Linked DNA regions of Neodiprion lecontei. The protein of the gene in region 1 interacts with the protein of each later gene in a pairwise test. Links are inferred from orthologs where the notes say so. Each region holds a gene or a part of one and is shown on either strand. Other genes may lie near its edges.

Region 1 (8,435 bases):
AAAATTTAATGAAAATAGAAGACCCGCGGTTATTTAAATTTCCCGAGTTGTCTATTCAGAAAATCTTTCTCCTATCGTACGGTTAGTTAACCTGAAATTTTTTTTGTACAGAATATTAAAACAACGTTCCATTTAAGAAATGAAAGCACGTTGCATTTTATATTTTATTATGTTACTGCATATTATTAAATTTTTGAATTTTTTTTTTCAATTGTGTAGAGTCTGTAATTGTTTTGTACGTACTTTATTTTCAATGCTTTCTTGTTGAGAACGCAAAATGTTTATCATATTAATTATCTCTCTACGCGTTTATTGTGTATACATTGTATTATAGTACGTTCATAGATTGGATGTCAGAGTTTTTATCCTCGTGCATGCTCGTTGTTGAGCAGCTAATAAAGTTGTTCAAAGGGAAAATTATATTTAAACGTACCTATCTTAATTTTTTTTTTTTTTTCTTATTCAAATTTTGATTACTTGTAATGAATTTACCTCCCGCTGTATATTAAAAGAAAAAAAAGGGAGTAGATATGACGTCGATTTACATACTACAAAAATTGATATCCTCACTGTAAATGTATTACTACCTACAGATTACCTGTTAACCATTAGGTAACTCTAAATCTGTAATGGATGGAGACGGACTCGTGCATCGTACAAGAAATCCCCTAGGTTATTATCACATGTAAACGCATATTTAATATTATTATTATTATTATTATTATTAATATTATTATATCTAAGATATTACCAGGATATTGTACTATTCTGGACCCAAATAAGAAGCTTGTAAAGTAGATGTTTCTGTATCGGTATGCTGAGTGCAATATGGCAAAATGATGAAACAAATCTGGATTACTATGTTTATAGAAAAGCTCACAAATACAAGTAAGAAGTGAATGACTAACCGTCGTGTTCCTCAATTAACGTATTACCTAAAACACATCTGTGCACATGAAGCAGAACCAATATCGAGAAAAAATTAGGGATGATTTACGCGAGATATTGACTGGAAAATTATGCATTGTCGTAAGCTCAAATTTAATATGCAATGGGTTGAATCACGAACGGAAATAGTACATTTTTCGTTTGCATTTCACTTCGATGCTCCTTTCGTACTTCAGCTGCTTTTTAAAAAGAATAGAAGAAAGTTTCTTTAATCAGTAAATTATCGAAATTCTATCTACAACTTGTTTACAAAAACATGTTTCACAGAGTGTATAGAGAAACATCATTTTTAGAAGCTTCTTACGGATGTACCCTAACGTAGAAACTTAGCGTATGTCCAAAGCCATAGTGCCTACACAACAATTATCAGACATTTCTCAGATTGTAAATACTTAACATACTTATATACCAAGATCGCTACAACAAAATGAGAGACAGAGAACCATAGCCAACTTCTTCATTGTGGTTATAATAAGATGTGTTAATATATATATATATATATATATACGTACAATATATGTGTATATATATATATATACACACACATATACATACATATATATGTATCAATTAGTTATTTTTAATCATTACAATAATTATTGAATTGAAAAAAATGTTAGTTTATATAGTTACTTATTATATTGCACTGTAATCAAATGCTATGGAGGGTAATACAGGACATTTTTGATGAGTCCGGTGCTAATATAGGAGACAAAAGTAGAGCAATGCCTCTCAAACGTTGGTGAGTGATACCATTTGCTCCGAAGGTGGTTAGAATTCAATTATTTCGCATCATATGGAGCTGAGCCATTGGGTAGCGATGGTCATTGTCTCTCCATATCCGTCAAAGTGTCAAGTATCACGCTATACTGCTACTTGCTGCTGTAACTCCAGCGCTATGGAAAGAATTATTATAGTTAAATTTTTTCCATATTTAGTAAGAGCATGCTTTTTTTATAAGTACTACAAAGCAACAGGTATTCTCAGACCTGGCCCTTGAATGACCGAGATGTTATCTACATCGATGAAATTAATTTCGAGAACTATAAAGCAACCAACATCGATCACACATTAAAACTGCAAACTAGTTTACAGTGTCGTGTTGCATCGATTTTCTGATTTAAGTCGTTAACAATCTGCAATATTGATTTCTTTCCTTCAGTGATATTTTGTAATGATATATATTTATATTATGCAGTCTGTTGAATAATTTTACCTAAGTATACATCGCGAAAAGGCTAGTTGAGTATGCCCGAAGACTGATAGGATTATCACTTTTTACAGTCAGACTTTCAATACGCTTGACGATATGGGAGAACTAATTTGCAATTCTGCATACTTTCATTTTCACCTGAAACCCAGCTACGAGGAAACGTCTAATTCACAATTGACGTTTTTTCATATACATCCATACCATTTATGGGTTGCCTGACATATCTATCATAAAAAAATACAATAAACAAAACGTTATGAATTGAAATGCACTGAATTATGTGGCTCAGCAAAATCAAATCTGCAAACGAAAAAAGTTATTCGTAGATTTTGAATAGTCGGAACCTCATCGAAATTTTTCAAATTAATGTTCTTTTAATAATGCCGATGTTTCATTTACGATTCGTCAAGAAAACTACATATTTGTAAACGATATTTTCAAAGGTCAAGTCGGTAAAATTTTCATGTCAAATTATAAGTTCAAATATCGGACATACCTGTAGATGCTTAGTTGATTAATTTTCAATTGAACATTTTGTTATTATTGAGTGTGAATTGCTAACGATACAAAGTGAAGAATAAGATAATGTAATAGGTGAAGGTAACGATTTTTGATTGACGATTCTTGCAGATGAACTTGATGTCAGCTGCCTAAATCATTTAACAGACTGCTTGAGGTTGGTTTGGGAAATAACCATAATACCAATACATCAAATTATTCCGATTGGCTGATGAGCCAAACGTTGGATCACCTTGGCTAAACCCTGCTGAACACCAGTACAGAAAGTTATGAAATATACCCTTGTGTAACGTGATGCAAAGAACGGAATGGATTATTTATTACTTCCCAATGTCTTCATCCTCGCCCATCACACAATCAGTTTCTCATTGTGAATACGCACAGGTAAATTGAAAGAAAACCTCAATTTTGAATATCATTAGACTAAAGCCCTGTAGTTTGCAAGGCTTGTTGCAAAGTCGCATTCCCCTCATTGTAGTGTTTCGACAACAGAAGTCAACAAACGGTAACATTAATTATACCTAAAATTAAGTAATCTCTGTGAAAGGAATTAGGAATGAAAGTGTGTCTGAATAAAAAATCTAAAAATTCGGTGTCTAGATTGTTAAGCAAGGCTATTACAAACCGTCATTTCTTGACGTGCAATTTTTATAAACTTGTTACTGCTGTCACGCTTGTGGCAAGGTATCAGAAAATAGAGAAATGTGGATATGGGTGCCAGAATTTTTATTCCATGATACTTCTGGGTCTAATTTTTACTGTCGGGAAAATGAAATTGTCTGTTGTTGTTAGTTTACTGGAATAAAACGCCATTTTTAATCCATCGTTCGGTTGACAAACTGGTTTACTGTGACGGATTTTGAAACTGAAAAAATTGTTTGATTTCAGATACAGTGCTCAGCGTTCACCTTGATCAAGTCTGTAAACCAGGTTGAAAGATGTGAATTGTTGTTTTTTTTTTTCTTTCCTGAACCGGTTTTGTACTCGAATGTAGCATACCGTGCAGGCTTTCGCACGAAGCCTGGTAAGTAAGAAATATCCAAGATTTCAACAGAGCGTAATGATGAATAATATTTCGTCTCGTTACCTAATGGTTTGTTTCGAAAAAAATTCAAACATCAATTTGATCGAGCAAAGAGTCTGTGTCGATTCGCGCGCAGTATTTGGATTGGATCCCGAAGTGCATTGCGACATGGCTGCGCGTGCGCAGTGGTAAAAAACAAAAATGTCGGCAGTTGGCAGCCGCCGTTTCTAGCCGAGAAGAGACCGACAGAAGATCTGGCTAAAATCGCCGTGCATCCTCGCACGCGAATGCCGTATCACGCGTGCCGAAACCTTCGGCGTTATTGTAAATACTTGTGAATAGTGTATCTAGTTTTAGTTTTACGATAAAGTCAGGGTGAATCGATAAAAGTAACCGTGGAAAATCTTGCTTGTGAGTTGCGGATTTCCGCGTATAGCGTCTATCCAACGAATCCCGGAACTGTTTTATCCGATCCCGCGATAATTATACCCAGATAATAATCCACAACCGTGTTTGTTCTACCCTGAAGACCTCGAGGGATGCTATAAATAGTGAATATAGTTTGTAAGAGTCAAACTCTCAAAAATCTCTTTGTGTTTTCGTGTTGTCAAAAATTCGTCCGGGCTGCCATTGCTGGTTGGTTGCCTGCTGCCGCTGTACCCCTCCGTGCTTAGAAATGTCATGCCAGCCGCGAAAATAATGCTTTTAAATTAAGTCATCGTTATCGCGGCCTATCTATACTCTATTTCGGTGTTGATAAGTGTGATTATTCAACGTGTAAAGTGTTTGACAAGACTATGAAGTGGCTACCCGGAGGCGGGGGCGAACCGGCACCCCCCATGCAGCTGCATCACCCCTCTGCCAACGGCCACATACCCACCGTTCGTACACACACACATTATAAATAATTATTAATTAAGATCCCCATAATTTTCCAAACACTTATGCGTCGCCGTTTCGCTACCTTTTCCCATCGCTCCTTCTTTTTCTCCGTCCAACTCTCCTTAAATCGTAATTCCTGAATGTCAATAACCCGGTAAATTTTTCATTTTTCTTCTTTCGCGTCTGTTTATATAGTTGTAAATAATATTTTGTACGCTTCAACAATATCGTTATGATATTACAGAAAATATTCCTAAGATGGCATTATTTTTAATATCTATTTCGTTTTTATACTGGCCATTTATTTTGTCGTTTTTATTGTCCAGGAGGCAGAACAATGCGCTCAAATTATGGCAGGTGGCGATGGGGTTCGTATACAATCTGGACAAATCGCCCAAATGGGTATCGGCAGAACTCAAGATGATGCGACCGTTGGTTACGTTTTCCAGAGACCAACAGAACAGGACTTCATTCCTCAGACTTCGAGCTATCAAACTAAGCAGCCAGCCAGGGCTTGGGCCCTTGCCGACGATGCCATTATCGATAATGTGAGAAATGAAACAAAAGTCTCTAAAAATTGTTCACAATAAAATGAATAATTTGCAATTTTTGTTGATGTGATTTTATTATTCAATTGAAGAAAAAAATATGATCGAGATGTAAATGAACTATTTCTATAATGTTCAGATTACATTTTTGAAATTTTTTCAGAACCATGACAAGTGGAAGTATCCAATGACTAAACTAGGCATACCTCAACAAAGCCAACCTCAGCAGCTTGGCTTGCAAACCATGAACAATGTTCATCTACCCTACGAGTTGCACACCATGCAACTGAAGGTTAACATTGTTTACAGTATATACATGATATAATATTATTAATACCATCGTGCAATTCTATTTTTTATCGCCAACAGTAACAGTAGCATTTGTCACGATTCATTATGTTTTTCAGCTATTTATAATTACAGTTTGAATTGTTATTGGGTTGAAACGTATGAAACCAGGAGGAATGAGACTGCCCTTTGACAGACAGTATAATATTGAAGATTCCATGATTTAAACCACATCATATACATGCCTTGAAAAACTTGATTAAAAAGTACAGAAAGTTTCAAAACGTACGTCAGACGTTTTTACTTGAACAGCCACAGACATAGATTCCTAGCAAAACCTTTTACGTAGCTACGTATGAAACAAAATTCATTACCGAAAAACAAGTAACTACTTTGAATCTGAACTTTTGGTTTCATACCCAACTGCTTCTTGAATTATCTTTTAAAATTGAAGTTTTTGATTTATCTTTTGCTGTGCAAGTAACTTTTTGATTTGAAGACTACATGCTATATTTTTTATTTTCGATGTTAAATTAAGACCCAGTACTTTGTTGCACAAATTATATTTCAATATTTTGAACATTTTTAATGGCTTGTCAATTTTGCGTGTATTTTACTAACATGTTTCTCCCTTTTGTCCTCAAGCACGTTAAAGAGAGTTCTGTAATAGTGCAAAACAGTATGTTTTACCATAAAACAGAATTCAACATCGATTTACGCATATTCGTAATGTCGCCTGTATAAGTTAGTTAGTGCTGAATCAATTCGAAGGCACACTTGATGTAACTCCCAAAATGTTGACAACATGTACTCTGTAGACGTAAATAATATTTAATAAGTAGTTTCTAAATAAACCTCTGAACAAGTCAATTCTTTTTTCTGCATAGCAAAGTTTCCATTGGTTAGCAGTTTGCTACTCGACTAACAAATATTCCAAAATATAATTAATGAGTATTCATTTTTCGGGAATACGTTTTACCTTTTAGACGAAGTACGATTTCCAGAATGGACCTCATTTTAAATTTATATGTACTTGAAAAATTCTTTTGGCCTATATTTCCTGCAAAAAACCTTTTGCCGTGTTTAATCAACGCTCTAGTTGAAGATCATAGTATTGAACAAATAGCGATATCATTAGCAATTAGAATAGCAGAAAACAGTAATTGTTGAATACTATTTATTTCTTTTTACTGAACTATATTCTTTTCTGTTCCTCAAACCCCTTGCACACTCACAATTTATTTTCTCATTAGTGTATCAAAGCCTCAAGTACGTTTTATTTAGATGCATTTCTTATTATTTTGCTGGCTTGTTTCTAACTTATACCTGTATCGAATCATGTGCTTGAAGTTCCAATCGACTTGATCGAAAATTCAATTTAGCGCGGATATTATTTTGCTAATAAATTTTTGATGAATGAATAAAATCCTGGTATCCGTATGTCAAGTGTATGAAATAGTTAAATTAACACAAAATTCTGCATCGATCTAATTATTTATTCCTCAACTCTTTTTGATGAAGTCTAATCAATCAAAACTTTAGGCACGTATCGAATAAATGTATTTCAACATAGATAATAACAATCATGAGTCGGCATGTTTAATGTTCTGATGATGAACTGATGTTCCGTGTAAGTGAAATGCAGAAAAACTTTGTAATGCAATTTAATATGTTGGTTTGCCACTGTTTTCAAATTAAATTCAAATTTGATGCCTCTCGTAATTGAATTCAGTCCGGAAAGATAGGAGTGATTGTTTAGTGTACGGATTAAATCTCCTTTGAAATTGAGTCTGAGTGTAAAGTTATGTATTTTGATTTCTACATGTTTTTAATATGAAAATTTGATGTGTAAGATTTAAGATTTGTAGCAAATTGATCGCAACTTCCTTGTTGAGAAATTTTTAAAGAATTATTTTTCCACCATTGAAGACCAAATGTAACAAAATAGAAAATCATATAGTTGAATTATTTGCGATAATCTCTAGTACGTGAAGCATCGATCTTCAATGCACTAACGAACAGTAGAAATGACTGAAAGTTATGTTTTTGCCATATGTTTGAAATTTTGATGGATCAACTAACTTTCATATTTTATAATTATGTAGTACTGTTGCAAATGAATCTGCGGTGTGTTTTTTTTTTTTTCTTTCTCTCATTCGATCACATCTAATATTTTTAAGAATTATTTTTGCATACACTACTAAAGAGAAATATATTTTCTTCGCAGAAATTGTAATTGTGAACATAATTCTATGTGCTGTTGCTTTTTACGCTTTTTTCTCCTGTCTATTTCAAATTGCTGCAAGTGACGAAGATTTCTCAAAAATTAACATCTTACTCTTGAATATGTTTCTAAATCTTCACATATCTATATCACACAGTATCCTGGTCTCACCTCTTGGATCGTTTTACATTCACACATTTTTACACTACACTTTGGAACGTGATGTATCTGAAGTCTTAATCGATCAATCGTCATTGAAAACTGAAGTCGTCACTAAAATATTAACAAGTTCCTGTTGAATTAACTATGTGCTTTAAGTTTAGAATGTTCATTTAAACGAAAAAATTATATCAAGCTTATATCAACCTAGTTATCAAAGCTTCTTTTACTGTGTACGACGGTCTTCTCAAAATTCAGTACAAATCGATGGATTTGTAATGTAATTGATGGAAAGAAATTGGCAAAAAAACGTCTCAACTCGAGGCTCATTATTGTATTAACTGATATTCGTTTCTTAGTAAATTTAGTATTAGGGACAACTTGACTTTTCAGACCAGCTTCATCGATCAAAACTGTAGATACTTAAAAACTTAAGACACTGTATTATTGACAATATTCGTTTGATACGCACCAGTTCTTTCAAAATGTAACATCTCGTAGGCTGTGTATGCATTATCATTATCTTCTTATTATGTTGAATTAAAAAAAAGTTACTTGGCAATAACACTTAAACTGTGACTACTTATGCTACTTCTGAGCAATTGTCAGCCTTGATAATTTCAATGCAAA
Region 2 (8,362 bases), on another chromosome or scaffold:
AAAAAAATTCTTTTTTTTCGTGTACGAACTTTTTTCAAACCGTCCATACTTGTATACATTCTTGTTGGTATTCCTAAATCTTAAGTACGGTAAAACAATGTGATCTCTTTGATAATTTCAAATTATGTCACCATTCGAGTGTAAATTGACGTTTACCTTTCGAAGTATCAATTTCACTATCAGATCCTCTTCTGTATAGATTTTCGATCAGACTTTATGCGCCACGCACCTTGATCCATACCAAAAGCTTTCGTGTTACTGGTCGATAAAAAGCCAGTGTACAAAAATAAGGGTCTAATTCCTTAGCCAGGGTATCTTGTGATACTTTGTAAGTTATTTCACCGTAATACCCTCGTAGAAATATTTCGGTAAGGTTGCATGACGATCAGGCTTCGTGATGATCGGAATTATCGGAGTCCCGTGTTCATGATTGAGAAAATTAAGGATCAGCATCGATTACAGGAACGTTTTGTAAGAGAATTAAGTGTCGCTTGTACGATTGGTCATCGTTTCTAGACAAAGCTGTTTATCGAAAATCCGTGCTCAACACACGTGGTTCCTGAGGGCTTACACGCATACCCCAGTCCGGGATGCTGTGTGTACGAAGCTCGGTCGAAAGCGCGGTGTAAACATTAAAGAGGAATTATCTAGCATAATCTTGAAAGACGCCGTCTTCGGGCGCCTCTTATGAGCCAAACAAGTAGCAGCCGACGATCTCCTAACCAGAAAGCCTGATAGCTTGAACAAAGAATATTTAATACCGGGTTGAATGGAGGAGGAGGTGGTATGAAGTTAAGGCGAGGCGAGGCCTGAGCAAAGGCTTGTAAATTACCTTGTGTGCAGGTGATTATGGTAATGTAACTCCTCGCATATACACGCCCCGCTATTAGGGACACATTTGAAACCGTATTTATAGCTATCCACACAGCCGTTAATAAGCTGTCTTTGATCTTTCCTCATCCGCGATAAATACGCACCTCCGATTACTTGATAACCTATTTTAATTGCTTCAAATTTTCCCCGTTTCATGTGGATTTTACACGTTGCTGGACATTTTTCACTCCTTGGATTTACAAAGTGTGTAACGTAGTTACTTTCGTTAGGTTTAAAAAGAGAATCCGTTCAACTTGTTCGATGCAAAAAAAAAAAAAAAAATACGCACACATTCTGATTGGTTGAATATCAAGACAATCTATATTATTATACCGGCTGCGGGATTTACGAATAAATTTACCGCACAGATACGGCAATGAAGTTGCATCGTGTAAGAAGCGTTACGAGTGGTCAATTTGTCAGTGTAAGGTATCACGTTTTCTTATCTGATATATTCTAATTGTCATGGTCGGTTGAGGATTAATCGTCCTCACCGTCTGAATCAAAAGTTAGGAAACCAATGATAGTGAACACGAATAAAAAATATTTACAGGTGCCTACTGTGTGACTATACGTTTAATGTGATTGATTTTCAGACAAATGAACCCAAAAACAGTAATAATTGTATCGTATTGGATTTGTCTGATTGTACATTTTTTTTCAAATTATTGGCATTTTAGCCAATATTTTGTTCAGGTGTATTTACATTACTATGAGAGGGATATTGTTTTATTTCTTGAAAGAAGGGGTGTCCTGATCGAGAATCCGGTTCACATTTACGATTGTCACGCTGCTCTGGAATTATGTATTTGAGAGTTTAAAACAGTGAAATTCCCAGCTCAGACAATTGATTTTCCAATTTCTAAAGACAAACCGAGCCGATAAGTGGTAGTCTCAATATTGAAATATAAGAGGATCGGGATTCTCACGCAACATTCGTTGAACAGCCAGGAATTTTCCGAACAGTAAGAATCCTCAGGCAGACGAATAAAGAAGAATAAAAATTTCAGTCGAGGTACTTTCTGTCGGTGTTAGTCAGCTTGAAAATTTCTTTCTTCTTACAGAGGTAGAAGTAAGCGGCTCACAATCGGTTTTCTCGCGTTGTACACGTAATGCTCCTATGAAAAGGTTGTCTGAAGACGATATTAAGATAAGGGCTTTCAACTTCGTTGGGTAATGCAATGAAGCGTGGGGTTTTTTTAAGCCTTTGTTTTGGAGAATTATGCGTGAAAACTTTTGGACCGAACGAAAATAGAAGCGGTCAAATGACAGGAAAAATTGAAGACGAAATCAAGCCGTCACGCTTTTTCGAAAATTTTCACATTCTTCAACCGCCTGAATCATTTTCCTTAGGTAATTGGTTCACGCTGAAGAATGATCGACGAACCGTTAAATCAATGGAAACGGTATGCGTGTCCGTGGAATCTTTCCAGAAGGTACAACGAAGGGCCCGTAAGTCTCTGACCGCAATAAATCTCTTCGAAATGAACTTGACTCGGAGACACGGTCGAACGGAGCCGAAAGACTTGACCCCGAATGAATCTCGCCTGTAGGACGGTATTTTAGGCGTGAAAGGTGATCGAACCCTTAAGTCGCTGGAGACTCGCCAGACACGAAAATGAGAAAAGTTTTTGAACGTATTTTCACGGGCGAGGGGAAAAAAGTGGAAAATAAGTAAGAATCGAAATCGTTGGGAGAAAGCGAAACAATAGCTGCAGACAACTTCCGTTTCTAACTCTCGCCATGATATTATGGAATAGAGGGAAAAAGAAATCACGCTATTTCCCGTGTATTATACCCTTTGAAGCCACAACTTCGGTATAATAATGGCGACGTAGCAAAGCCCTCGTCTCGGTTCCGAATGGCTTCCAAAAACTTTTCTTGTTATTTTCCTTTCTTTTATATATATATACGTATATACATATATGTATATATATGAATACAGATTCCGCGCGGCCGTGTCTTCAGAAATGGGCGAAACAAGATTTGAATCCCGCGGTAAAAAGTCTCGAGGATGAATTTTCTAGGCTGTCTGTGTAAGTAAGTTTGAACCCCAATTTTCTGGACTACAGTGAAAAACTTTTAAGAGGTGGTTCAGAGTGTTTTTTTCCCCAACGAATTTCTTCCGCCGAGAATATGAATGTATAATATACGTATAATATACGGTGAGGTGAAGGTGGATGTTCAAAGCTCCGAGTAATTTCCTTGATTACATGAAAACGATAGAATCGGAATAAACTACGAAAGCATGACTGTAAAATTCGTCTCGGAATTCGGCGCGTAATTTTCATGCGTGGAAATGCCATTCAAAAGTCTCGCACGCCTCACATTGTCACGTCGCGTAACCGAGGCTGTAATTATATTCCTCAAATCGATAGCGTACGCGGAATCGATACGCTCGGGTTCTACGGAACATGACGTTTCTTTTGAAGTTCAAATTTAATGAACAGCTAGTCGACAATGCGGATTGAAAAGAGGAAAGGTCGGGTTCTTTGAAAGTTAAAATGTGAAGACTGATGGTAACAATGGTGGGTAAAAATAAGTTATAGAATTCTCACGAAAACGTTCACCAATGCTTACGGAACAATCGGTGATATTGAATTGGCTACTTAGAAAATACAAAACAGCTGTTACAATTAATTTGTAAAAAGGAAAGGCTTTTGAATAAAATGATTTATCGTCGTTTCGTCGCAGTTTGAAATGAAATATCGATACATATTAAGCTTTTCTTTATAATCTCACTATATTTTTGTATCTTCGAAGAAATAATCGTAACCTGCGAATATGATTATTTCGAACTCGATTTAAAATAAAAAACAAAAGGTTCGATTCTTGATTCGAGTTTTTAACGTGAAATGAAAAATTGACCGTGCAAAGGTGAAAAGTTGTTGGAACTTTTGAAGAACGTTCGTGAACATGAAACAAGTTTTTTTTTTTTTTGATTCGAGAAGCATCATTCAATTTCACAGTAAGGTACTTGAAAAATTTCAAACATCAATCGAAACACTCGAAAGTGATGTTGAATCAATTGACATTTCTCGGTCGGTTTTCTGAATAGTCGATACATTTTACAATTGGTATACAGTTTGAATATATCTCTGTCCTTTGTTGATAACATATATAAAAAAGATGACATAAACAGCCTCGAATCGTATCTGTGACCTTTGAAAGAAGTAAGCTTTCGTAATTATTAAACGGTACTCAAGTCGCAAGCTCTAGATTGGATACCACGCTGTTTCGGTGATGGAACCCACCGACGTTTATAAAGTCAAGGTCTCTGGCTACACCGAAAATCGCATTACATATAATTGCGGAACGCTTTTTGTTTACCGTTGGAAATATGCCCGGCATGAAATTCCTAAAAGCAAACAGTAAAATCGAGGGAATTTTCTCGGCGCCTGCACGCCTAAACCGATTCCGGAGTCGGTACGTGCTGTTTGGCGATAATAATTGGCAACGGCTCACTTCTCTCACTAATACGCACGATGGGGATTAAAAATGATCCAAGTTTCGACGAGGCAACGACCAGCGGCCCGGCGAACGAGCAATGACCTTGAACTAGAGCTTACCTCGTAACAGCCATCCGTCACGAAGCATGGAGGCGTCTCTTTGTGCCAGCGCTGTTTTCTTCCGTGGCCGTGAGTGAGGAGCTTTCGGTATGCAGCCAACCGCACAATCACGTCATTCCATAGCTTGCAGCCTTTGTAATTTGGCACAACGACGACGAAGAAGCTCCGTTCCGCTACTAACAGAGCCACCACCGTCTGAACACGTGAGAGAACTTCACACGTCACTCTATTGAGGATGAGGAAAGTTGGAGAGCGGACAAAAGGAACAAGAAAAAAAAAGAAAAGCTAACAACAACAAGAACAACAACAACAACAACAACCGCGAACCGAAAAGCAAACTCTCGCAGCGTTTGAAGTTTTTTTTTTTTTTTGTTCTCCTTCTTCACCCGTGCTTGCGAGCACTTTCAATCTTCGTTTTACGCTCGAGGTCTATCGATATGTCTCTTTGGCTCACCTGGCTTGGCCAAGTCGCGTGTTCTGCGTGTCTGAAGCGCGCAACTGACGCCAACGACGCCGGCGACGCTGCCGGCGTCGGCGTCGCTGCAAGCTCAGGGGAGTGCTTTAGAAGTTGGGCGCGTGCCGCGCGGCTCAAGCTCCAGCGATTTCAAGCCTCTTCATTCTTCCTTCGACTCGGATGCTTTTTCATCCTTTTGTCTCTTCTCGTTATGTTACACAACGTGTTTGGCACGCTGGGCAAAAAATAGTTGGCTGGACCAGGAAATTTTTATGTTAAGAGGATGCTGCAGTCAGTCTTTACCGACCGAGTAAATAGCTGCTTATTTTTACCGTTATCAAAGCCTGCGCAGCTCTGATACGAAAATGCTCGAAGTCAGCCCAATTATACTTGCAATCCGAAAAATTTGTGGTTTTATTATAAAATAACTCCAGGAAAAGTGTTTTTGCAACGATTGGTAATTCAATTAAAGCAATACATTTCTTGGCATTGTTGTTGCATAAGATAAAACTATTTTTCAGATATTTGTATTCGGAATTGCGCTGACTGCGGTATTTTTTTACCAGTGATGCGTAAGCATTGACAATGGTGAAAATGAGTGATATTTAATATAGTCACAGCAAAAAAAATTTGTTGCAACAGGTGAAACCTTGCAAATTAAACTAACGAGTTTGTTACATTAAAACTCAACTTAGCTGCAAAACGGTTGATGTTGCAGTGAAACTTTTTGCTTCGATAAGTAAAATTCTTTCTGTTACCGTACGTTAACACTCAAATTTACTGACCCAGCGAATCATTTATTCCGTGGGTCCAGAAGTTTGCGATGATCCGCGTTTTTCTTACAAATTGTACCTGAAGTGCGGCGTGTTATGAGTATCCCATTTTCTTCTAAAGTCTTATCTGCTTATACAATATGCATATATGCTTGCTTCCCGATTAATTATTTCATTCTTACAAATATTTGCACCAACGACGATACCGATTCTTACCGGAAATCGGTTATCCCAGTTCCATTCACTCTGATTTTACTCAAATTAAATTCAATATCTTTTTCTCCTGTTAGTGTCTATTTTCCTGAAGCCGAATCGTCTGCGTAGGTTTGGTTAGTTTACTTTGGTTATTTAGAACCACACAAGAAAAACCCTTGTTTTAGTTGAGTGCAAAAAATTTAACGTCACGATACATAGATGAATTGAGACAGAAAAATGTTCATTCATTTTTTCATACCATTCTCGACAAAAATATAGGCTATAGCCTAATTTTCAAATATTCCAAGGGAATTGAAAGGCAAGAAAAATAAGCGTTCTATAATATAGCAAGCGAATTTCCTTGGTAAAAAAATAAACCTATTCCACGCGGTGTTTTCGTGTTTGATTTGAATGGAGATTAATTGCCCTACACATCAGGTTCCTAATTCTCTTGGTGTTGGATCTAGTCTATTCGGTGTCACCTTCGCGCTTAGATCTTCCATGCCAATTTGTTCGGTGTAATCCATCAACGTAGATCCGATGTGAATGGAAGATAAATAATAAATCGAACCGGAATTTTACATCGTTATTATTATACTACCTTGAATAAAAAATAAGACAAAATGAAAGGAGCCAGATCCCCGAATCAAAGAGTCAGAGACGTATCATTAAAATGCAAAAAGGTCAATCGATTCCAGGAATCGATTAGATTCCGATCGCTGTGTGGCGTGTTTGAAAATTTTGGATGATCATGTAATCCCCGATGGATTTTCAGGGATTTCAGAACGCTGACCTTAATTTATACCGAGAACCCGAATCTGGACTATTCAGGATTTTGAGTGGCATCCTGGATTAACGTAGGATTTATGTATCACGCAAAAAAGAAATATTTCCGATCGACGAAATATTGCGAAATAACAGTAATTTGTTTTATCAAGTAAAATTGCGCTGATTTCTATTAACCCAACATTTCCTCCGGCATATTCGGTATGAGGTTTAAGAATTTTTTCTTTTTTGGTTTGAAAAGGGGAATATCAGACCTCCGGATCAATGATTTGAAACTTTTAGGGGTGTTTCTTTGGCCTGATATATGAAGTTGCTGATGTGTAGTTCAATCCTTTGCTAGATACACAATACATCGGATTGTCGAAAAGTTGCAGTTTATACTTTATTGTGCCTCTGAAATAATAAGACATCTGTTTAAACATGAATCTATGAGAACCTGTAATCGATACTTCAAGGTAAGACAATTAAAATTATTATTCCAGTCAAAAATATACAACAGGTTTCGGTTATTAGGTCATTTCACTCATTAAACTTTAATAATCTTAATAAATTTTAATCTGAGTGAAGAACAGCCTCATGGGTAGAACTGCACGTGAGAAGCTTTAATATATTTTCTGGCAAAGAAAATTGCAAAACCCTTGCGAAAATCTGATAAATGGACTGGTTTTCGGTCATCACGTCCAAGGCACCATTTCTGTAGGATATTACGTTCATATGTAGGTGCTATTATTTGCCATCAACATTTATTTCTCTATTCGTCTCCTAAAACTGTTCTTCAAGTCTAGGTTTCTTGACTAAGGGTTCAAGATTTCGATCGTGTTGAACGACTTGAAAAATATTGAATAACTAAAATCTAAGATATCACGTGAATGCATTCAAACTCAAAATTACTGTGATCATCTGTCGGCATTTGTTTAACTTTCACGAAAATCCGTTAACCAAATGTCTGATACTCCACTTCCGAGGGTGTAAGTCGGGGCTCCGAAGCTTCCAAAGCCGCCTCTGAGTCGCGAAGCTTCCCGAAGCGCTCCGAAAACTTTTGGAGCTTTAGCTGCGGAGGCGCGCGCATGCTTCGGCCCTCTTTCCGGGGGCGGGGGGCGGAGCGGGCCGAATATTGACGCGTACCGCAGGCAAGCCAGGGGTGGCAGGTGGCGGCCGGCAGGTCGACCTGACCGAGCGAGGCCAAGGACTTTGTTGCCGGCGGCCGCCGTTTTTCCCACCCTGTGGATGGCTCGAGAGTAAGGGACTTCGGGCCTTCCGGAAATGGCGAAGAACGGTGGATCGAGTTTTTTTTACAAAATCGATCGCCGCGCTCGCCGATCAGCACCGTGCAACAAGTTCGCTCCGCACAAACTTCTTCTTCGGGTTGCGGTTTGTTGGGTTTCCGCTATTTCTTTGATCCATGGAACAGCGATCACTCGGTAGTCTGCTTTTACGGATATTATATTCTTGCGTTACTTTTCGTTTTACTCACTTCTCCGGACACACATTTTCCGCCCTTTTTTTCATTTCCGCAGGTTTTACAAGTAGCTTTTTCCATTGGGAAGTTCACATTTCAATGATTTTTATACTGCTATTTTAAACGGTTGAACAGGTAAACTGTACATGACGTGATTTATTTGAGTGGCAATATTTTATATTGTGTGAAATTTGACGCGGTCAGAAAGCCGATTTTATACGTACATAATTATGCACAGTTATATACAGTTTGG

What was found. The genes of interacting proteins can lie anywhere in the genome.
Region 2: the proteins of pumilio homolog 2 (region 1) and brain tumor protein interact in a two-hybrid assay, tested with the Drosophila melanogaster proteins (2 studies listed by BioGRID, with this or other methods). The link is inferred for Neodiprion lecontei from reciprocal best matches to the Drosophila melanogaster genes pum and brat.

The regions. Positions count from the first base shown.
Region 1 is NC_060263.1:23,974,627-23,983,061, reverse strand, and holds the start of pumilio homolog 2, read left to right. Parts: upstream 1-3,681; 5' UTR 3,682-4,501; coding exon 4,502-4,585; intron 4,586-4,912; coding exon 4,913-5,134; intron 5,135-5,297; coding exon 5,298-5,426; intron 5,427-8,435. UniProt on the Drosophila melanogaster protein: Sequence-specific RNA-binding protein that acts as a post-transcriptional repressor by binding the 3'-UTR of mRNA targets.
Region 2 is NC_060265.1:8,528,406-8,536,767, reverse strand, and holds the start of brain tumor protein, read right to left. Parts: upstream 4,894-8,362; 5' UTR 4,443-4,893; intron 1-4,442. UniProt on the Drosophila melanogaster protein: A NHL-domain family protein that functions as a translational repressor to inhibit cell proliferation.